Diceros bicornis minor: one gene and its partners. Each later gene encodes a partner of the first gene's protein in a complex. Links are inferred from orthologs where the notes say so. Each region holds a gene or a part of one and is shown in the gene's direction. Other genes may lie near its edges.

Region 1 (7,667 bases):
GAGGTGGTCCCCTTCTTCTCAGAGCCCTGTCCCTGGGCACGTATGGGCCATGATATGAAATTTCAAGTTGACACCCCTCCAGATTCATCAGAAGCTGGGGGCTGCCCTCAGAGACAGGCATCCTTGACTCACCCCACTCCTCTCCTGGGGCAGGGAGGAAGGGGGACCGGGTGAGTCATCCGGTGACTCATCCCACCCCCTGCCTTCAAGCACCAGGGAAACCCCAGCCCCTGGCTGTGCCCACGAGGTCCCCACCCAACCCTGCTGCCAGACTGGTGCCCTCTGGACATCTTGTAAGGAAAATGGACAAGATCTGTGTTGAGAGGAGATAGCCTGAGGAGAAAGAGCCAACCTCACATGACCTTTCAGTGTCCAGAAAGGGGGGGGCCTGGAGGTCCCCCAGACTTGGGGTGTTCTCATGCAAAGCCCTGATGTCAGACTTCAGGGAGAGTGGAGAGCCGGGGGAAAAAGTGCGGGAAGTTTTCGGGTGGAGCTGTGAACCCCAAAACCTTGCCGGGCTCCACCCCTTCCTGAATCCCCACCCCAAGTGCTACGAGATCACTTCTTAAATTACAGAGATTTCCATGGGGTGGAGAGTCGGGGAGTCTCTCCCAGCCTGGGGGTGACCGTCCCAAACTGTGTACTTCCAAGTAAATAAAGAAATCCCAGTCTGAATAACGGATTGGAAACTTACCGAGCAGCAGAAAAGTCAGAGTTGGAGTCTCGTCCCTCGCTCTGGCCTCCGTGCCCCGCCCTTCTCCTCCCTCCTTCCACCCTCTCGAGGCCCCCGCCTCCCTCCCCGCCTTCCTCCCTCCCTCCCTCCCTCGCTTGCTCGCTCTCCCCTCTGGCTCTCTCCCTCCTTCTCCCCTCCAATCCGGGAACCCTTTCTCTCTCTTTCTCTCTCTCTCTCCTTCTGCCTCTTGTCTCTCCCTCCTGTCCTCACTGCCTATACCTCCTCCTCTCTCTCTTGTCACACTCCTGGTTTCTCCTTCTCTGCTCCTCTCAATATATACCGACCCTTTTATACCCACCCTGACCCCACCCAGCTGAGGTCTGCAGCCAGAGGGAGGGCCCAGGCACTTGGTTCCTCCTTCTCTGGGCCCCCACCCGTTGCCTCCAGACAAGCATCTTCTCATCTCCCAGGGTTGAGAAGTCCTTGGAGCACGCCGGGTGGACCAGGGGCCCTGGGGTGGGGCAAGCGTCAGAGGGTGGGAGGGCCCGAATCTCAGGCCTCCGTTCTGGGTCGCATCCTGGGATCGGATGTCTGCTTTCCTTGATGGAGCTTAGGACTGGATACCCACAGGGATGGGAGTCTGGGGAGGAGGTCAGATTCCTGCCGTGTGCAGTGGGCTGGGGGCTGGTGGAGCTGGTGGAGCTGGCACCACAGTGGGGGTCAGAGGATGGGAATGGGGAAGAGTGAAACTCTGGAAGGCGGCAGGAAGTGGAGGTTGAGAGTCCCAGCGCTACCGTTTTCTGCCTGGGGGTCACCAATTATTTCACCTCTCTGAGCCCTGGTTTCCTAATCTGTGAGGTGGGTACAATAATACTAATAATACTGACAATATACTAATACAGATAATAATTCTGATACTTATTCTAAATGAATAAGGTCATACCAGTACACTAACACACCTAACACGTTCATCCCTTTCTTCATCAAATATTTATTGAACATCTATTTTGAACCAGGAGTTAATAATGAAGAAAACAAATGCGAGCCCTTCTGTTATTATGGAGTCTACCTTCCAGTTTAAGGGAGACAGACAATAAAGAGGAAACATATCACTGAAGCCGATAAATATCACAGAGTGCTAAGTGCTTTGAAGGAAATAAAATAGAGTGATGGAGGTAATGAGGCGAGGCGACTTTAAACAGGGTCATCAGGCGAGGCCTCTCTGAGGAGGTGACATCTGAGCCGAGACCTGAAGGAGACCTGAAGACAGGAGTCATTTGAATGCTGGGAGGAAGAGGAAGTGTAAAGGGCTTTGAGAACAAGCTCAGGTTGTTTGGGGAGCAGACAGAAGGGCCAATGTGGCTAGAACATAGGGAGCTAGAGGGAGGGGTAGGAAGGGAAATCAAAGAGAGCCCTTGAAGCCTAGAGGAGCCTGGATTTTATTCTAAGTGCGGTGGGAAGCCACTGGAGGTTTTAAACAGAAGTGCAATACTGGGGACTTAATGTTAAGTATGATGATGATGATTATTATGTATTCTTGGGATATTGAATTAGGGTGGGGGGTGACTACTATGTACGTGGGTCTCTTGGAAGAGTTGGCTGCTGGTGAAAAGTGAGGTGTCCAGTTGTCTGGGGTCCTGAAGTGGAATTGAGAGCTGGTGGACTGACATCCTGGGTTCCTGCAAAGGAAGAGAGCTGGATGATGGGATGTCTGGGTATCTGATGGGGCCGGAGCTAGGGGGAGGGAGAGTGGTTGGTCATCTGGGCTCCCTGAGGGGGTGAGGGATGGGCACTTCAGTGACTGGGTGGGTACTCGAGTGACCTGGAAGCTGGGTAACAGTATAGCACAGACTTTAGAGACACAGTGGCTGGATTCAAATCCAAGCTGCTTTACTCATTAGCTGTGATTTTGGGCAAGTTACTAATAACCTCTCTAGGCCTCAGTTTCTTTATTTGTAAAATAGGACTAAAAATAGTAAATACCTCATAGGGTGGTTCTAAGAGTAGTCCCCTGGCACAGCACTGTTGTATGTGCTAGTTACAGGAGGCATTGGGGCCCTGAGTGGATTCAGTACTGGGGGACCCCAGATCGAGGACTCTAGGACTTGGGGAAGGGGCAAATTCTTGGGTCCTTTGGGCTCCAAGGCTAAAAGGTTGGGAGTACAAAATGAGGGTCTCTGGGTTGGGAAATAAGTAGTCTCAAATTTAAGCCTTTGAGGACAGAGAGGCTCTGAGCTCAGAACCCCAAGGAAATCAGAAAGTCTGGGTCACTGGGAAAAATTAGGGCCTGGAGCGTCCTCTGCTCTTCCTGGGGTGCAGGCAAAGGGAACCGGACCTAGTCTTGGGAGGAACCTGGGAACCAGAAAAGAGGGAGACGGAAATTTGAGCGAGGGAGGTGGACAGGAGGCTAGGACTTTGAATCAAGTTCCCCGAGTGGAATGAACGCCAGACTTGCGTCTCCTGGGGATGTTCGGGAGTCCCCCATGCTAGGGCCCTGTGGAGGGGAAGAATCAGGGGACCCGGGAGCGGTGGCAGGATCTCCCCCTCCCGGGCCTCCAAGGCTACGAGCTGAGCTGAGCGCCCGCGGGCCGCTTCCTCCCACAGGAAACCGCAGGCGTCAGGCACACCCAGGCTGCAGGGAGCGGCGCCCACTGCCGGCCCGCTGCAGGGAGGCCCACGTGGGGAGCAGTCCCCCGCCCGGGGGGCGGGCCCTGCGGAGCGAGGGGGTGTGGCCAGACAGGGCGTGGCCGGAAGGCAGAGGCGGAGCGAAGCGCCCTAGGCCCCGCCCACTTCCGCCTCAGTGCGCGGACTCCGCAGACAGCAAAGGGTTTTTGGCGGCTTCCCTGGAGGCCGTTGACTGCGCATGCGTAGTGAGCCGTTGTGAGGACCTGAGGTGGTGGTGAGCGCTCCTCCCCCTCACAACTCCCAGCATCCACACCGCCTCCCTGCTAATGAATCCTCAGCGTGGTCTTAATCAGCTTAAGACACGCATCTCTCAGGGCGCGTCCGACAGACTTCGGCCTAGCTCCAGAGCCTTGCAGACGCTTCCCTCCCAGCCCTGCCTCCACAGGCTCTCTCAGCTCCTGCCTCCTCCTCCCGGAAACACACAGCCCGCCCCTCACAGGCCCGTGCTCCCCACACAGACCATCCCCACCTCCCACAGGCCCTCCGACCCTGAGTGCCTCCTGATGAGCCCCGTGCCCCGCACGTCCCGGGAGCCAGCGGCCCTCCTGTGCCCTCCCACCGGACCCCTCGCGTGTTCCTCCAACCACGCCCCCGTAGCCCCACAGCCCCCACCCTCCTCTTGTACCTGTGCCCCTCCCCTCCCAAGGCCCCGCTGTCTCGCCCCCTACAGGGACCCGTGCCCCTCCCCTCCCAGGGCTCCCAGCAGGCCGCCCCCACATGGACCCGTGCCCCTCCCCTCGCAGGCCCCCGACCCCGCCCCCTACAGGGACCCCTGCCCCGCCCCTCCTAGGGCCCCCCAAGCCCCGCCCCCTACAGGTCCCCGTGCCCCGCCCCTCGCAGGGCCCCCCAGGCCCCGCTCCTGACAGGGACCCGTGCCCCGCCCCTCTCAGGGCCCCCCAAGCCCCGCCTCCTACAGGTTCCCATGCCACGCCCCTCGCAGGGCCCCCCCAGGCCCCGCCCCCTACAGGTTCCCATGCCACGCCCCTCGCAGGGCCCCCCAGGCCCCGCTCCTGACAGGGACCCGTGCCCCGCCCCTCGCAGGGCCCCCCAAGCCCCGCCTCCTACAGGTTCCCATGCCACGCCCCTCGCAGGGCCCCCCCCAGGCCCCGCCCCCTACAGGGACCCGTGCCCCTCACCTCGCAAGCCCTTCCAGCAACGTCCCTCGCAGGCCCCCCACTGTCCGGCCCTTCATTGCCCTCCTAGCCTCCACTTTCCGACCCCCATAGCCCCACCCCTCGCAGACCACGCCCCTTACAGCCCTCCTAGCCCCGCCCCTTGGAGGGCTCCCCCACGCGTCTGTTCAAAGCGCCCGGGACCCAGCACTTGCGGCCTCCTCGGCCCCTCCTCCCCAGCCTCCCCTCCCGCGCCCTCTCCGCGCTGCCTTGGTCCCTCCCCGGCCGCGGTCCTCAGGCCTCATTGGCCCCTTATCTCCGCAGTAACCAGACCACAACAGTGAGCTTGAAGCGCCGAGGACAGGTCGGGCACTCCAGCAGGTAGGGCCCGGGCCTCGCCCCCCACAGCCGGCCGGGGCTTTCCCCTTCCTTTGTGACCCCTTCCCCAAGCAGCCCCGCCGCAGAGATACCGAGAGTCTAGGGGACCTGTCCCCCGCGCCAGAGTCAGAGCCGCGACGCAAGACAGCATGTGAGAGGCGGGAGGTCGGGAGGGGTGGGGGAGAGGCCGGAGAGGGGACCCCTGCAGCCCACTGGAGGAAATGAGACTCAAGGAAAGGCCAGAGGTGTTCGGGGTCACCCTCTTCCAAATCCTACCCCCTCGCCGTTCGTCGCCCACTCTCCTCCGGGCCCTCTCCCGCCCGCTGTCTGAAGGGCTCCCGTGTCGTCCCTACAGGAACCCCACCTCCTTTGGCCAAGATGCCTTTGGGACTCTCTCCAGGGAGCACCCGCTCCGAGGATGGAAGCGAGGCCTTCCTGGAGGGAATAGGTAATTCATACCTTCTTGCTTTATTTCACTCATTCTTTTCCTGCGTTTTCCCAAGTTCCAGGTCCTGAGCTGCCAGGCACTGGGGACTGGGAGGGCTTCCAGGAGAGCCCTCTAGTACCCGAATGGAGGTGGAGCAGGACAGATGGGGTGGCCAAGCCTGGGGAGCGGGCGGGCCGAGAAGACTTCCTGCAGGAGGAGAAGTTTGAGTGGGGCCCAGAACTCCTCCCAGGAATGACCAAGGGGAGAAGGAAGGAAAGAGTGTTTCAGCAGAGGGTACAGCATGAGGCTAGAGCGGGGTTTCTCATCTTCCGCACCATTGACACTTGGGGTCAGATAATTCTGTGTCGTGGGGGCTGTCCTGTGCATTGTAGGATGCTCAGCAGCGTCCCTGGCCTCTGTCCACTACATGCCAGTAGCATCCCCCTCCCCCCACATTGTGACAACCAGAAATGTCCCCAGGCATAGCCAAATGTCCATGGGGGGGCAGAATCCCTCCTGGTTGAGAACCACTGGACCATGGCTGGTGGGGAGCTGGTGGACGAGGCTGGAGAGGTGGGTAGGGTCAGGTCGTGTGGGGCCTTGAACACCAGGCTGAGGAGCTGGGACTGTGTCCTGAGGGCGCTGGAGCACTGGGGGAGGCCTGTGAGCAGAGGAGAGGCAGGGTCCGCTCTGGGGGTAGAAAGACCCTCTGGAGCTGTGAGGGGAGGCCGGGAGGTTGAGGAGGAGGCTGAGGTGATGGTCCAGGCAGAGAGAATAAAGCCTGAGCCTAGGCGATAGGCTGAGAGTGAGGAGGCGGGAGGATGGGGCTGAGGACTGCTGGGCGGTGGCGCTGAAAGGGAAGGGAGGGAGCAAGAATACTGGCTTGGCATCTGTTCTCAGCTTTCAAGTTCCACGTCCTGTGCGGCGGGTCCCTGAGGACCGTGACGCCTTCCAGGAGCGCCCTCTAGTGGGGAAACAGATGTGTGCCCAAACCTGGAGCGGGAGTGGGTTAGGGGAAAAATCCCTAGGTTAACTTGGGGTCTGGGGAGTAAGAAGGGATAAGGAAGCTTGAGGGATACAGGAACTGAGATGCAGACCTAGAGGGGCACTGGGGACTGAGTCTGCAGTTCAGCTGCAGTTTGCGTGACCCTAAGGGAGCCAGAATTCCTAGGTCCCAGGGAGGAAGGGGCTGGGGCCTGGATTCCTATTGAGTCCCTTGCCTGGTCCTGCTGCAGTGGATTGGGAGCTGAGCAGACTGCAGCGACAATGCAAAGTGATGGAGGGGGAAAGGCGGGCCTATGGCAAGGAGGTCCACCAGCGCATCAACAAGCAACTGTGAGCTGAGTGCGAGGGGGCTGGTAAAGGGGCTGGGGGCCGGACTCCTGGGTCTGAGGAGGGGAGGGCAGGCCCAGTGTGTCCAGCCGTTAGTGATGCTGAGCTCTGCCCCTTGTGGGCCTCTCCTCCACCTCCCTGCCGGGACAGCGAGGAGATCCAGCGCCTGCAGGAGGTCCGGGACCAACTGCAGGTGCAAATCAGCGTCGCCCAGAGCCAGGCCAAGCGGCTGCGAGACAGCAAGAGGCTGGAGAACATGGGCCACCTGCTGAAGTGCCAGGCCCAGGTGCAGGCCGAGGTCACGGAGCTGCAAGAGCAGACCAGAGCCCTGGATAGACAGGTGGGTTCTGAGCCCTGACTCTGTGGATGCTATTTAGCGGCAAGTGTGTAACCTCTTTGAGCCTTAGCTTCCTCATCTGAAAGATGGGGTTGTTGAAAGCATCCACCTGGGAGAGCTGTGTTCGGTCTCCAGCAGGAATATGGGTGTTGAGGGGCTGGTGTGGTTAAGGGGAAATGTTCACCTTCTGGAGTCAGTGAAACCTGCACTAGGATCCTGGTCCTGCCACATCAGAGCTGTGTGACCACGGGCAAGTCTTCACCTCCCTGGGCCCCAGTTTCTTCATCTGCAAAAAGAGGATGTTGGTAATGCAGCAAAGTCTAGACAGATTTTTAATCCCACCTGCCCCAAGGTCTTGCTATGTGACCTTGGAAACAATGTGGCTTTTCGAGGCTGGAGTTCTTTCAAGTTTTGATGACCATGACTCCTTGCAATGCAGTTCATACGCACACAGAAGCACATGGATGTAAACACACACACATATATCTGAAACAAGTTTCATCAAATAATACTTACTTTTTCTATGTGGAATTCATTCTATTTTCTATTCTAGTCTTCATTTAAAAAAAAAGTTGCTTGCCTAGACCAGATGATTTCTTGTACACTATTGGATCACAAACAGGAGTGTAAAAGTTACTTATCTTGGTGGTCTGTATTAGTTTGCCATTGCTGCTGTAACAAAGTACCACAGACTTGATGGCTTCAAATAACACAAATTAATTA
Region 2 (7,967 bases), on another chromosome or scaffold:
CACAGGGGCTGATCAAAGAAGAGGCTTACAAACCATGCAGACAGAGGCCAGATCCTGGAGAACTGTGGAAACTGTGCTACAGGGCTTGGATATTATCTTATAGGCACTGAGAAGGCATTTCAATATTAAGCAGAAGGAAGACATAGGTGGATGTGTGTTTTAGCTACATCACTCTGGCAGCCCTGTGGGTGGCTTGGAGAAGCACGAGACAGAAGACAGTGGGCTAACGCAGGGGCTGGGTGGGAGCAAAGAGGACAGCTCAAACGGGAGGCACAGCAGTGGAGGCAGTAAGCACAGCCTACACCTGAGAAGGCAAATAAGAAAGGGCACAGTTTAGACAATAATGAAAAGATAATGCAAGGTCAACAGGATTTTGACTTCCTTCTGGCTGTGAATAAGCAAGTATAAGAAAATACGTAGCCTTTTCGGGGGAATATCTACACAAGAAGCAGTGTCTTCAGGGGAGAGGCAGGTTTCAGACAAGAAAGGTGGAGAGAAGGCTCTGTACAAAAATGGATCGTGTAAGGTAAATGTTCACAATTGAGGAGGGGTTTGTTGAGTACAGCTGAAAGGTGTTAGAGAGATCTAGGCTAAGAAATAAAGTCTAATAAGGGGGTAAGTATTTGGAGATAGGCAATTCTGGGAGCTTTCTTTTTCTCTGAGTAAGCAAGAATGATGGAAGTGGGGGATGTGGTTAGGAGAGCCTGGTCTCAAATATTTGGACTGGTATAGGTCATTTTCTGGTCAGCATTGGCTCAGAGGCCCAGGCAGTACCAGGCCTGGTCTGAGAGGACAAGCCTGGTTCTGTTCTGCGTAGGAGGCATGTGACAGCTGCAGAGGGACAGGATCAGAGCCAGAGTGCTCCCTGGCGCTCCAGGCTCCCTTGGAAAGTGGCAGGCACTACTGTCCCTGTGGTCGTTATGCAGACAGCACAGTTTGCCACGACCTAGCTCTGGGTGCCCGTAACCCAGCATTCAGTAGGAGGAGCCTGGCGGGTTCTGTGGGATTTCTTGGTTGGCTATGGAAGGCCTGGAGAAGCAGCTTCTTTATTCAACCTGCTGACATTATTGAAGTTGCAATAATTACTTATCACGTGCCACATCTTAATTTTTAACTTTGTAAATTACATGTAAGAAATTACATGTAAGATATAAGAATCCTATCCTTAGTAAACCTTAGGCATTTGCCTTGGCCACCAGTCACTTGATTATGGTTTAAAAAAATTATCTAGAAATGTATTAACACCAGCAAATATTGAGTGTGTATTTTGGGAAAAGGTATTCTTTCCAACTCAGCCTCTTTTCTAGGCCCTGCTGTGTGTTCACAAGGGCCCTCCCAGATGGGGTGCTATGGGGGAATTCAGGGCTTACCCCTGCTCAGGTGAATTCTCCCACTCCTCTCCCTTAACACAGACAACAGAACATGAACTGTGCTGTCAACCTTCAGAGGTACAGACAGATAGATGATAGATACAGAGATAAAAATAGACATATATAGGGGCTGGCCAGGTGGCACAAGCGATTAAGTACAACGCGCGCTCCACTGCGGCAACCCGGGGTTAGCCAGTTCAGATCCCGGGCGCACACCGACGCACCGCTTGGCAAGCCATGCTGTGGCGGTATCCCATATAAAGTGGATGAAGATGGGCATGGATGTTAGCCCACAGCAAGTCTTCCTCAGCAAAAAGAGGAGGATTGGCAGATGTTAGCTCAGGGCCGATCTTCCTCACACACACACACAAAAATAGACACATATATAGGAAGAAAGAGAGAGACATCACATAATTGACAGTCTAGTAGGGAGGAAAAATTACAGAAAGAAAGTAATCACTCATTGTGACAAGTGCTATAAAGGCAATGGTCCTGGGACAGAGAATGAGGATGCACAGGGAGGGATTTACTCTACATGGGGAAGTCAAAAACTCTCGGAAGAGCTGCCTTTGGGGTGGGGTGAAGAATATGCAGAAGTCCTAGGGCAGACAGCTGGGTGGCTGGAGGTACTGAAAGCAGCTTGTCACCACCGTGTAGCAGCACAGGGGAAGTGGCAAGAGAAAGCCATGGAGATTCAACCACCCACATGGTTGGCTAAAATCACCTCTGCATTTCTCATCTCTATCTCTATAAAACAAAATTGGTAAAAATGAATTTAAATTATGTAAATAACTAACCTTTATATTTGCCTTTTATTAAAATAATTTCATAATAGATTTATAATATACTTGGAAATCAATTATATGATGTCATTTCTTAAACAGCTTCCAAATGCCTGCATCATAAAAGGTCCACATTAAGTAAAACATTTTCATCAACTCAAGGTCCAAACTATTTATCATGGCAAAATTCCAATTAATTGTGATTCAAAGGAAAGGTTGTTTTGCACACAAAGTTAAAGGAAGCATTTATAGCATTAACAGTCCCTTTAATGTACTTTTGTATTTACAAAAGTATCCATCAAAAAATTGCTTGAATTTTGGAAAGTCCTATAATCATTTCACGCATAGTAAAAATTGTATATAGTACAAATTAAATGCAGTTTATTATTCTATTATTGATTGATTTGATATGAGGTAACTGTTCAGGCTTAATTGCCTTACTCTGAAAGAGCTCGGGGGAAAGTAATCCTGTGTCTGCTCCACACAAGCAACTAGAAACTACAAATAGAAATCTCAATTTGCCTTGAAATGTGATTGGCTGATTCTATCAGGCCTGCAGTTTGTTTCTAAAGTCTAAAAATAGTACGTTAAAAAACTCACAATAATGTAATGAACGCCTTAAAGTTTAGCAGTATGTTGACAAAACATGTCCCTAATAAATACCTTGCTTTCCCTGAGAAATCCTTGCAAAAACTTTTGTAACGTCAACTCAGCAGCCCATTGTCTTAGAGAAGTGCATTTCACAGAACAATGCATTTGGAAATGTTTTGCTAAAAGATTACACGGAAAAAAGAACTTAGGGAGGAGACAGATCAGGAGGAGGGTAACTCACAAAGTTTTCTAACCAGGTTAAGGAATTTTTGCCTGGTAGAACAGATTTGATCTTTTAACATCAGCCTTCTGTGGTATTGTCCTTACATCACTTTTTCCACTTTAAGGGAACATAGCTGATGGATCCCAGGCCTGAAGCTTGCGAGGTAAGAACGGATTAGCTCACCTATAGGTGCCGGCAACAAGCTCCTCTGTATGACGTCTGCGCAGACGCCTGGACACGCCCATTAGCGTGCTTCCCACAGTGGACGCCGTTCCCCAAGGCATGCCAGCTCATGTCCAGAACACGGAGGAGGTGGTTCTCGACAGACCTAGCCATGTGAGACACCTGCGGCCCACGGCCTCTCTTATTAACTACCGACGACCACTCTTTCAGCTTCTTGTCTTCTGGAATGAGCACTGCAACAATCTCTATGCATTAAATATTTGCTACAACCCTGGAATATAACAAAAGCCACTAGTGAGTGTAATTCACAGGTGAGTGTAATTAGAATAGATCCAATCTTTCCCATTTGTTCTCCATAATCGCATGAGAAATGTCACAGCTGCTAGTCAAGAGGGCATATAGGAATACTATTTAACCAGAGAACTGTTGCAAACTCATAATCACCATCATTTCATATTGGTTACCTGTTCTCAGAGAATTTGCTTTAGGATGATACAGTCCCTGCCTTCACCAACCACCCTTGACTCTGGTTTCAAACAGCGTCCAATCCTTCACTCGACAAACAAATGAAACAAGGAAAGAAAATCAGAGACCTCAACACTGGAACTATTTCATTTTGGATTGTTACTCATGGTTGGCAGAATTTTCCTGCTTTCAGTCTAACGATGGCAGTATGTATACTATAAAGTAATTTGTATTCAAAGGTATTTCCCCCTCTGAAGTTAAACATGTAGACACGTTGGAGAATACTCTAGGTTTTGTGCTCCTGGCTGAGTTAACCTATTTTATTGCTGTCTTAATTCAAATACGGTGCCCCATCTGTGGTTAAAAAGAGCAGAAAGTCCTCTCACATTAAAGATGTAAGGACTACCCTTTGCAGTCACGGAACTCATCTTTCAAATAAGTAAAAAATCAATTTTACTGGATTATTTTCCAAAAAAGCAAGATTGGGCTGTACCACATAGCCAAGTGGTAGTTGTCAGCCTGTCTTATTTGGAAGGCTGCCTCTTTAACTAACTTAGAAATTGCCAGTGGCTTTTCCAAGATTCCACTGACAGCCTCCACCCTCACCCCCAAGAATGTATGCGGGGGGAGGAAGAAAATAACTAATCCAAGTTCCTCTTCCTCTCACTAACATCACCCAAAACTTGAAGATATCTTGTTCCAGACTCCCTCCTGGCATCACAGCAAAAGTACTGATAACCAAGAGTGGCTCAGCCCTAAGAGCAAGCTCTTCACCTTCATGCACCCGTAAAACAATCGTTTGGATAACACACCTGCTAATTCTTGAAGCTCTTCCAAGTTCCCCCAGATCTCCCTGAAGCTTAAGGCGCCCCTCGTGTAACATCTCTCACACAGCGTGCACAACATACTTTTAGACCTTGATGATTCACAGTGCAGTCCATCCAAGGTGCCGTGAACCCAAAAGACAGAAACCACTGAAAATCAAAACTCCGACGTCAGCCATCAGAACACAGTCTGCAAGGAGCCTGGCCTCGACCTCCAAGTGGGACCGCGCACCCCAGCCCAGGAACCAATAGGCGGCCAGTCCAGCCGTTGCCATGGCCACGCCGAGTGTTAGGGCCGCGTACGCACCCCGCGCGCGCCCGGGAGCCAATCGGCGGCTGGCCGAGGCGTTGCCATGGCCCCTCTGTGTTCTGGCCGCGCGCCGGCGCCCGAGACCCGGCCCGGCTGCCCCAGCCCCAGGCTCGCGAGGGTCCGGGGCGCCGTGCGCCGCTAGTTACCGGCCGCTGCCTGATTCCGTGAGCGCCCGGCATGAATCGCAAAAAGCTGCAGAAGTTGACGGACACCTTAACTAAAAATTGCAAGCATTGTAAGTAAGAATGAAGTGCTGGACGAGCGGAGACTTCTGGGCCAGGTCTCCTGTCCTGCTGGGTGCTAATGTCCGCTCTCAGCCTGCTTCCCGCCTCCAGAGCCTGAGTGCTGCTGGAGCCCCCTCCACACCCATGCCACAAGAGAAATCTGGAAGGAATTCCCGGGGGTTAGCGCCTTGGGGCGGGCACCATGCCTGCCCATGATCCTAAGGACCAGGATCCAGGTACTGCACTCCCATACAGGCGCTTGCTTCTCAAACCCTCTTTGTAACTTACTTTTACCTTAGAGAAAAGTGATTTATACACTCACGAGACACAAGTAGTTTTAGCTTCAGACACAAGTGTAAAATAAGGACTAAAACCCACCAGACTCAAGAAAAGATTCACAACCAAATACGCCTGCTTTCTAGCTCTTTTTAGAGCAAGTAAACTGGCGGAATCCAAGTTCTGGAAACTTAGCAAGAGATCCATAAGGGAAATGGTTATCAATGGCTGAATACCCTTAGGAAAGATGAGTTGAAATGACACAGAAACCTGTATCTCAGAGCAAGGAAATTTGTTTGGAAACCAAAGAGCTCAGCAAAGCTAAACACATGGTAAAGAATCTTCCCAACTCTAGTCTCCCACTTTCTAGTTGCTGGTAGGGTTGCAAGGTAAAGGACACTGCAGGTGACAAGATCAGCACTTATTAAAGGTATCTGCTCTGATCACACATCCTAAAAGGTGGTCCTAGAATTTCATAGTTAACTTTAGAATTGTACTTGGGCAAGGAAGGTATAGTTTAGATGACGAACATATTGTCTCATGAGCAAGCTTTTAAGTTGTGTGCTGATTGCAAAACCACTGGCCACTTGAGGAAATAGGAGAAGCCATAATTTAAAGAATACCCCCATTGTGCAAAGAAGGAGGAACAAACATGTTTTAAGGTAGTTGTAGAGATTATAGGATCTGGTGCCTTCTAATCATCTTTAGTATCTAATGTAGTGAAATGCGGTAAATAAAAGTTATGATGTGTATAAGCATCTTTAAACTTCTTAGAAAAAAGGCATCCTATAATTTAAGGTATTATTATGGTTATTATAATCTGATGAGGGTTTTGTTTTGTTATTTTTCTTAAAATACTTCCACTTCTGGGAAAAGACTAGATCTTCTTAAAACATCTAGTTAACGTTTTGAATAAACAGTACAATAACTGCTATACACAATGCTGAATTTGATTTAGTCCCTGTTCAGTAAGTTTGCAATGTATTGCAAACAGATATTCTGTGAACAGTCAAAAGGTGAGTGCATTAAAAGATAAGTGAAAACATGGCAGGAAAAACAGTCAACTCTTTTGATTTTTGTCCTTACATAAAATTTTTAAAGTGAGCCTTAAAAACCTTGATGATTACAAGTTGAATTCTATAGAAATAGTTACAAGTCATGGACATTATAATAGATTTAAATTTCTTGAAACAGAGGACCTTTCCCCTAGTGTCAGATTTCCTTTTAGCTCTCAGATGATAATCCCACCAGGATGAAATGGATAAATTTTGTAGAATCGGAGAAGAAGAAAATATCTTAAATAATTGTCTAGTTAACCCACGGTTCTACAGATATGGTCCACGGAACACATACACAATCCAAGGAGATGAAAATCCATTCTTGAATTTCCCTTAATTTCATTTAGTATTGTATTCTAGAATTTAGGAAACATTTCAGCAGGAAATGTTTTCTTATGGCTAATCTTTGATCTTTCAGGTGATAAATTAATCTAATATTCTTTAATTTTTATTTCAGCTGAGATGGAAAAATGGCTCATCAACATCTCCCCTGCTAGCATTTCATATACATGAATGGAGTCTACCATTCTTCATGCAGACTTTTTTCCCCAATTACTAACAGCTCTTTTTATTTTTAGAGTTTTTTTGTGTGTGTGTTTAAATATACATAACATAAAATTTACTATTTCAACTGTTTTAAGTGTACAGCTCTGTGGCATTAAGTACAACACTTTGTTGTGCAACTGTTACCACCCTCCATCTCTAGAACTTTTTTATCTTTCTCAACTGAAACTCTGTAGCCAGTAAACTATAACTCCCCTTTTCCCTCTTCCCCCAGCCCCTGGCAACCACCATTCTACTTTCTGTCTCTATGAATTTCACCACTATAGGTACGTCATATAAGTGAAATCATACAATATTTGGCCTTTTTTGTCTGGCTTATTTCACTCAGCATAGTGTCTTCAAGGTTCATCCATGTTGTAGCATGTATCAGAACTTCCTTCCTTTTTAAGGCTGAATAATATTCCACTGTAAGTATATACCACATTTTGTTTATCCATTCATCCATTGATGGACACTGGGGTTGCTTTAACCTTTTGGCTACTGTGAATAATACTACTATGAACAGTGGTGTACAAGTATGTAAGTCCCTGCTTCAATTCTTTGGGTATATACCTGGAAGTGGAATCACTGGATCACATATTGTTTCTGTGTTTAATTTTTTTGAGGAACTGACATACCATTTTCTATAACAACTAACAGCTCTTTTTAAAATTATAACCATTATATCCTTTTCTACTGTTTAATCAGTTTATTTAGTAAATCATTTATTTTCTGGAGTTTTCAACGTTCCTCTTAAATTGTGGTACCCAAAACCAGAAATCACACTCCAGCCCATCCTGATCTGTAGGATGAAGTATGAGTTCTCTGTTCCTATGCTGTCTTCTTTTATATGCACACAGGTTTTGTCCTTGTTTTTAAAAATACACAGCTGTAATTTTGTCTTGTTTTGAAATCATATCTTCCCAATCTTCCACTTATACTTCACATTTAAACTCACTTTTATGTTCTTAATGGTAGGCAATAATTCTTCCACCCACAAACCTTGGATGGGGATTGGAACACAAATAATTAGATCAGTATTTATCAACACCACCCTTTATGCAATTTTGTGTATGGGCAAGTATGTATGTGTGCGTATATCCTATAAGTAAAAATTT
Region 3 (7,724 bases), on another chromosome or scaffold:
ACAAAGTACAATGTCACACTTCCTCATGGCCCATTCCTGATATGCTCTACTTTGGAGGGAGGAGGGGGCACATACCCACTTTTTACTGAGCATCTACCAAGCGCCAGGCAGTACACTGAATGCTTTCCAGACATTCTTGCTAATCTTTACAGCTCATAGGGTGAGTGTTATGCTCATCTGACAGCTGGGGAATGTAAAACTCAGAGAGGTGAAATGGCTTGCCACAGGTGACATGCTTAATAGACAGAGCATTGGACTCCATTTTGTCCCTTCCATGCTCTGCCTACCATGCCAGCGTGCCTCAAAATGCGGAGCCCAGAGCTGGACACAAAACCCTGCCCAGCCCATGCCCACTGCCCATTGACGCAGGCAGTCTGCCATCACATGCCCCGCTCGGACATCTCCAACAGACCGACCCTTTCTCTCCTCGGACTCTGGGCCTGGAAGAAGGGCTCAGGATGGGGGCGGGCTCACCTGGCTGAGCAGCCAGGGGTGGTCCTGCAGCAGGTGGGCCCAGTCTGTGTCAGGGGTGACCCGGGCATACTTGAAGCGGTTCTGGATGGCCGACGTGGTGCAAATGTACTTGTAAAGGAGCTCTTTGCCCGTCTGCTCTGAAATCGCCTTGGCTGACATGGCTGCAGAGGGACCTGCTCTACCTGTCGGGGTAAGAGGAGCTGGTCAGAAGAGGCAGGGAAATGGAGACCTACACCTAGCTGCCCCCAGACAGTAAAACAGATCTCAGCCCTTCTCAAGAGGGAGAAGAAGAGCTGCCCCAGCAGGAAGGATGGAAGGGAGATCTCAAACAGCACTTTTGACAGCAGAGAAGGAGGATCAAGAAATGATGGGGGAGGGAAGATGGAGAAAAACAAAGGTGGCATTTCTCCTGGGACTCCGGGCCTCAACCCTGTCTCTACTCTCTCTAGGCAAACCAGATCACCCATAGCCACATTCGTCCTGGAGCCAAAGGCAGCTGGATGGGGAGACCAGAAATCCTAGTGATGTGACCCAAACCTGAGTGCCGTCCCACCCGAGGAGGGCACACAGACACTGAAACACACCCTTTGGTTCTATGACTGGAGGGGAGCACAGCTGGAATGGTGCAAAGCCGGCCTTACCCCCACCACAGGTTTCATCTACCCCATCCAGACTCACCCCATTTCACACACTTATAAACCACCAGGCAGAGGGCCAGGCCAGCAAGTTTTCTTAGCCTCAGGCAGGATCGAGCCCCCAGGAGCAAAGATGAAGAGTCATCTCAAAGCTCATTTCTCCCAGGACACTAGACTCTCACCCCTGAGTTCAGAGCAGACACGGGGCGGGGGAACTGTGACCTTCAGTGGGTCAGACCACCCGCCCCACTGAGTCACTTGGCTGCTAATTCAGAGCAAAACACAGGCCTCTCTGGGGACCACTCTGTAGTGGTCACTTTTTTTTTTTTTTTTTTTTTTGTGAGGAGATCAGCCCTGTGCTAACATCCACCAATCCTCCTCTTTTTTTGCTGAGGAAGACGGCCCTGGGCTAACATCTGTGCCCATCTTCCTCCACTTTATATGGGACGCCGCCACAGCATGGCCTGCCAAGCAGTGCGTCGGTGCGCGCCCGGGATCCGAACCAGCGAACCCCGGGCCGCCGCAGCGGAGCGCGCGCACTCAACCGCTTGCGCCACCAGGCCGGCCCCTGTAGTGGTCACTTTCAACTGAGCCAGAGCTGAGGGAGGAGGCAGCAAGCATTCTCAGTCACATGTATACAGAAATTTACCTTATGGGAGCGCTGTGAGGTATGTCGAGATTCAGAACCCTATTTCTTAGATGAGAAATAAAAGCTGGGAGGGGTTAAGATAACTTGCCCAAGAAGCCTAACTAATTAGCAGGGGACCAAAGACTTGAATCCAAACCTTCTTACTCCTAGTCTCCAGAAAACTGCACACCTCAGCCCGAGAGAAAAGACCATTTCTCCAAGAACAAGGCCATGCCCCCCTTCACCTTACAGAAGAGTCTGTGATGACAATTTCTTCATCTTCCCTCCCCACTGCTTTGTCCTGACACACCCTTCTCTGACAGGTAGTGACAGGAGAGCTGGGGAGAGGAATGGGGGAGGGGGAGGAAACCAAGTCATTCATGCCAAGAGCTTGGCCAGATCAGGAAAAGTCACTCTTGTGTCTCCCACAAAGAACTGAAGTTGTTTAATTTGCTGGGGGAGGAAAGTCAAATAAAGGAGGGTGGAGTTAGGGAGCTGGCTAGTTTATACACACAGGAAGGCTGGTCTCCATCCCCAGCTTAGGAAAGGCCAATACTCCAGAGGCCACTCTGCATCTCCCTCTCAGTTGGCCAGACTGGGGCTCAGGTTCTAATCCTGGCTTGGCTGGCTCCCTCAGCCTCCCAGCTAGCCTCCAGCTGGGCACAATGGGCACATTCAGTCTGGTGTCTGGCCCAAAGTGAAGTAGCTGGGAAGGGGCTCAAAGGAGATGTTGCCTTTTCTGGCCTTCCCCTGGGATGACTTCTAGCTCCTTCCCAACATGAGTCTCCAAAGGAGATGCCTCCACTGGCCCCACTGGCCCCAAAGTCCTCCAGCCTCTCACCCACTCCAGCTCCATTTCCCAACCTTCTTGACTCAGACCAGAAAAACTGGTCCTGAAATCAGATGGGTACACCTGCCCCAACCCCTCTCCCAAAGAGAGTGTAGCCCAAGGCAGATCAAGCAGAGAAAGGAGCAGGCAGCTTCTGACCACTCTCAGCAGTTCAGACACATCAGGCACAAGTGATCACAAACTCCAGGAGGAAGGAAGCCCCTCAGCTAAGCCTCTCCAGCAGAGAGAAGTCTGATAGACACTCCCAGAACAAAAAACTCCTAAACCTGGCACCTCCCAAAACAAAGACCCAACTTTGGAAATGACAAGGGTGAGAAAAGGGACCTTCTGCAGCGGAAAAAAATCACAATTTTCTTGAGCCCCAGATGAAATCTCAGACCCAAGAGCTCATCTCCATAAGGTCCTCGGAAGAAGGATGGGAGAGAAGACACAACAGGGAGATGATACAGGACAGAAAAGATTTGCCAGTTTACCAAAACGACATATTTGCCACTAGAGCACTTTGGCTTAGAAGGGGAGGCCCTTATACGACAGAATAAAGGAATCTGGCCTCTGCCTATTCACCAATGCAGGGTAAGGAGGCTCATAAACACAGGGAGGGGACTTGGTGGAGACAAATCATAAGTTTAATTATTCAGTGGGGTTCTGAAGTCTCTCTAGGGCAGTGGCTCTTAACTTATTTGAGGTCTCAGACTCTTTTGAGCATCTGAAGAAAAGCCCAGAAAAATGTACACATACTCAACTGTGCATATCATTTCAAGGTGCTGACCTGTGACTCTGATCTGATGGTCCACAAACCACCAGTTAAGAATATTTGCTCTAGTGAGAAAGGGGCTTAAAGTGTACACCAATCTGGGTTTGGGGAGCTCCCTCTAAAGTCTTTGGCTGCCTCCCTAGGAACTGAATGTACTGTCAAACTGGTGACAGATGGTTTCAGGGCACAGCTAAGACCCCTGGGGTCCACTTTGGGGCCCCAGGAACTGTTACCTAGTAACAGATAAACGTGTAAACCATTTGGGGGACATCATGCCAAGGAACCTGAAAACACACACATACACTCCAAGGGAGGGATCTTATGAGCTGAATGGGGTCTTTTTTACAGACAGGGTAAGTGACCCAGGATTGAGTTCATCCACAGCAGCCACCGAGGGCAGAAGGAGCCCACAGGGAAGGCTGAATAAAAGGAGCCTGTTCCCCAGGAACGTACCCCTGGGACACAGCCAGTGGACAGGAATCACTGGGGATGTTACTTAGGGTCTGTCTCTGGGAAGGACAAAAAGCACTCATTTTAAGGTTAGTATCCGTAGGACTGAGGTTTTTTGAGAGGACAGGCAATCCATGGAGTAAGGAGAAAGGCAGAATTCTGTGAGCGTCCCCCACTGCAGCAAGCATAGTGTCAGATTGGGGGCGGAGACAGCAACTGCCCAGTGTCTGAGGGGTCTTCCCATCACCGGCCCCAAAGCTGTTTAAGAAGCTAAGAGGTGAAAATTACCCTTCTGGGCAGCTGGGGTCTACCAGCTGTCCCTCACCCAACATTTCAGAAGGAACTGAGCTGGCTGAAACAGAGAGCAAAGTTAAAGGGTGACGAGAGGAAGGAGCTGACCGACTGCAGTGTGTTATGTACTGCCACCAACCATCCTCTCCAAAATCCTCTTCCCAGGCAAACTGCCAGGGACCACCTAATGGCAGAACTCCTTGGTACCGCAAGGCATCGGCCAAGTGGAGAGGGCAGCAGGCGCTGGGACTGGCCCTCTGTCAGGCCCGACAGGAGGGCGGCGGCAGCATCCTCAGGCTCCTTGAGGACCTTGCTTAGCCAGGCTCAGCGGCAGCGGCAGGGGTAGGGAGGGAGACGGGCAGCCCGGCCATCTGTCGCCTAAAGGCTGGCCCCGACGGCACCTCCAAAGCGAGGAAGGTCCTTCTTGCGCCGCCGTTCCATGGCCAGGTCTTCGCGGCGAGGCCAGGCCTCAGGTACCCTGGGACAGCCCGGCCCGCGTGGCCCGCACGACTAGCTCCCTCCACTTCCGCGGGGCTCAGTCGACTCCCCCACAGAGCTAAGAGGAAGGGCTTGAACCTGGCTGGAGAGGCGAGTTTGGCCACTGCTCTACTTCCCGGCCCCGGTATCCGGTGGGGGACCCAGATGGGGCAAGAAATGGCCCGATGACTGGTCCCAGGTAGGGGTGAGGGGCGCCAGGATGGGGCAAATACAATTCAGCGGAGAGAAAAGCAAGACACGGCGGCAAGCCCTGTGCAAACTCCCAGGAACTGGGATGGGAGGGGGGGAGGGGGGAGTCGACACGCGGCCACCGGCCGAGGTCCCGGGCGAAGGCTAACCTAAAGCTAAGACCCCCCCCCCAAAACTTCCAAGCCGGTGCAGGGAGGGGGCGTGAGCAACAAGCCCGCGTCCGGGGAGATGGTTCCGGGTTGGGGGGGAGGCAGGAAGCTCCTGGGTGGGGGCCCTCCCGCGAAAGCAGCCACCCGCCACTTACCACTCTGAGAAAGTCTGTACGCGGCGCTCCCTCCACAGTACCTGACTCACCGCCCACTACCGGAGCGCTCCAGCCTCTCGAAGCCTCCCGGGATCCCGCTTTTGTCTGGGCCCCGGGGGTCTACTCCCCGCCCCCATCGGCACACGGCGCGAGCCGCCCCGCGATTGGTCACACGCGTTCCCTAGCCTGAGCGCCAGCGCTCCTCCCAATTCGCTGCTCGGTACAGCCCCGCCCCCGGGGGGCGGAACCCAGGGGCTGCTGGGATTTGTAGTCCAACTAGCGCGTCCGTCCTAGACCGCGGGCGGGCACCGCCTCTCCCGAGCCAGCAAGGCCGGGGCCGGGTTCGGGGCGGGGCCTCCGGTGGGGAGATGGGCTGGGCTACGCCGGGAGGAGAACGTTCGAGGCTGGGGGCCGTGGCCTGATTTGTTAGAGGCTGGATGGCCCGCCACTCTGATGGGGGTTTTGGGGCGGTGGGGGGTTGGGCGAACAGTGTGTAGCGCTGCTTTGGGGACCTGGAGTCTCCTTCCTCTCTCCCTCTGGGAGAAACTAACGTCCGCATCCTGGCTGCCTGAAATCGGCCACCAGTTGCTTAGACCCGCTTTTTAAGCAGCCGTGGCAGACTGCCTTCCTATTTGCACCTGAACCGTCTCCATTGAGCCGGTGGGGCGAGGCCGAGAAATCAGACCAGACCTCCCAATGTGGGATAGGGAAGGGGAAGGGGTGAGCAGGTGGGGCTAGGAGAGTGCCAGGCACACCTCACACGCCTTCTGGCCCACTCACCTGCTCACCTCAGCACGGAGCTGAGAATTCAATGGGAGATTCTAGCACAGGTCTGGGGCCATCTCTGCCTGTCTTCTGCTCCCGGCGCCCTCCCCACAATCCCACGCTTAGACACTGGAATGAATGAACTGCTGCCTGCCCCCTCTCCGTTACTTGTGAGACATACTATATTTTCCAAACCAAAAACTGGGACACCCGGTCTAATAGGTGCTGGTAAACTTGAGGGGCAGAATATTTGAAATCAGACAGTCATGGAAACCAGGACATACATTTACTGCTTTGACATTCTGGAGCTTCCCCACCTCCACCCCAGTCCTGTAGGTCTGTCTAACTCCAGGAAGGAGAATTATGGTCTGATAGTTCAGGTGAAGAGGTCAGCCCACGGTGCAGAGAATCAGCATGCCTGTGCCCCTGCCAAGCACCAGGGTCATACTCACACTGCAACAATGTTTCAACATTCTCCTGGACAAAAATTTCCCCAAGCCCTCCTCCCCCTAGTCCTGTTGTAGCCAGGAGTGGGGCAGCTAAACTTGCTGCCCATGCCTGAACCAAGTGATCCCTGATGATGTCACTTTCTGGTCCCTTCCCTCACAAGCATCCTTTTGAAATAGCAGCTCCTCACCTCCTCTCTCCTCTCCTAGAGAGTCTTCTACCCCTACACGGATTGAGCTCCATCCCTACCAAGAATATCCCCAAACAGCACAAATCTGGGAGAAGGGTCACCTCTCTGTAGGTAAAGAAAACATGTCCTAGAAGGTACTCCATTTCTGGCCTTGGGGGACAGCAGTTCAGGCTCTTCCTGGGCTAGCAGGAAGACTGCAGTCAGGAGGAATCACTTATGCAGCAATTTCCGGTTAGAAAGACACACTCGTCCAGAAACAGGCATCCGGGAAAATATAAACTATAACAAACTCTTTGACGTCAATTTGGCAATATCAATAAAAATTTAAAATGCACCTGCCCTTTGCCCCATCAATTCCATTTCTAACAATTTATCCTTCAGATATACTTGCATATGTACATGAGGATAAGGATCTTTGTCTGTTTTCTTCGACTGGTGTGTCTCCAGCACTTTGAATCTGGCCTGGTACATAGTAAATGCTCAATAAATATTTGCTGAGTGATTAAGTCCCCCATCTAGGTATTGCTGGGCCCAAGTTTGACTAGTTCTGGGCAGGGGCAACAAGAAAGAAACTGTCCAGGGAGTGAGGGAGGAGAGGCACAGGCCAGAGGGTCCGTGAGCCAGCTAACCATTGAGATGTTTCAGTTTTCTCAGTGGTCCCATTCCAGGCCTGTACCCCAACCCCCAACTCTCCCAGGAAAGACTCTCTCATTACCCCACCGTGACCCTACAGAGGCTCCTCTGCCCTAAAGTAACCAGTCTGGGCCCCATCTTCTCATCTTTCTGTTCTCTGACTTAAAAGCTCTAAACTCTTTTGTTTTTCCTACTTGAACCACCTTCCTCCACTTCTAGACTGGGCTGGAGGACAGGTCCATGTCACCAGACACAGAAGGATATGGGTACCATCTCTGCATCCAGCTTTGGGCGTGCTACCTCAGTTTCAGAAGGCTTAGACTGCCTAATGACTCCCTCCTAGATTATAATCCATTTTAGCTAATATTCATTGAGTGCCTACTATGTGAAAGGCCTGGGTGCTAATGCATACTGCTCACAGCAACCCCTTGAGCAGTTGTGCAGATGAACAACTGACCCTCTGCCACCAGGTCTCCTGTCCTGTCCACTGCAACCTGCTACAGGAGAGAAGTAGGGGAAGAAAATCATATCCAAGGGGTCTACCCCATTTGACTGTGAGCTCCTCAAGATCCAAGAGTGTGCCTTGTTCGTTTTGGCATCCCCAGTACCTAGCATG

Evidence for each region.
Region 2: ODAD1 (region 1) and CLXN share a complex: the UniProt entries of both Homo sapiens proteins name them as parts of the outer dynein arm-docking complex. The link is inferred for Diceros bicornis minor from reciprocal best matches to the Homo sapiens genes ODAD1 and CLXN.
Region 3: ODAD1 (region 1) and ODAD4 share a complex: the UniProt entries of both Homo sapiens proteins name them as parts of the outer dynein arm-docking complex. The link is inferred for Diceros bicornis minor from reciprocal best matches to the Homo sapiens genes ODAD1 and ODAD4.

The regions. Positions count from the first base shown.
Region 1 is NC_080773.1:24,034,302-24,041,968, reverse strand, and holds the start of ODAD1 (outer dynein arm-docking complex subunit 1), read left to right. Parts: upstream 1-4,649; 5' UTR 4,650-4,851; intron 4,852-5,203; 5' UTR 5,204-5,226; coding exon 5,227-5,296; intron 5,297-6,510; coding exon 6,511-6,610; intron 6,611-6,757; coding exon 6,758-6,947; intron 6,948-7,667. UniProt on the Homo sapiens protein: Component of the outer dynein arm-docking complex (ODA-DC) that mediates outer dynein arms (ODA) binding onto the doublet microtubule. Involved in mediating assembly of both ODAs and their axonemal docking complex onto ciliary microtubules.
Region 2 is NC_080760.1:7,586,292-7,594,258, forward strand, and holds the start of CLXN (calaxin), read left to right. Parts: upstream 1-4,874; 5' UTR 4,875-4,925; coding exon 4,926-4,983; intron 4,984-4,991; exon of another isoform or gene 4,992-5,174; coding exon of another isoform or gene 5,175-5,208; intron 5,209-7,967. UniProt on the Homo sapiens protein: Component of the outer dynein arm-docking complex (ODA-DC) that mediates outer dynein arms (ODA) binding onto the doublet microtubule. Seems to regulate the assembly of both ODAs and their axonemal docking complex onto ciliary microtubules.
Region 3 is NC_080757.1:41,159,827-41,167,550, forward strand, and holds the start of ODAD4 (outer dynein arm-docking complex subunit 4), read left to right. Parts: upstream 1-4,673; 5' UTR 4,674-4,744; coding exon 4,745-4,758; intron 4,759-5,073; exon of another isoform or gene 5,074-5,180; intron 5,181-7,724. Other genes in the region: ACLY (ATP-citrate synthase), read right to left, coding at 475-633. UniProt on the Homo sapiens protein: Component of the outer dynein arm-docking complex (ODA-DC) that mediates outer dynein arms (ODA) binding onto the doublet microtubule. Plays an essential role for the assembly of ODA-DC and for the docking of ODA in ciliary axoneme.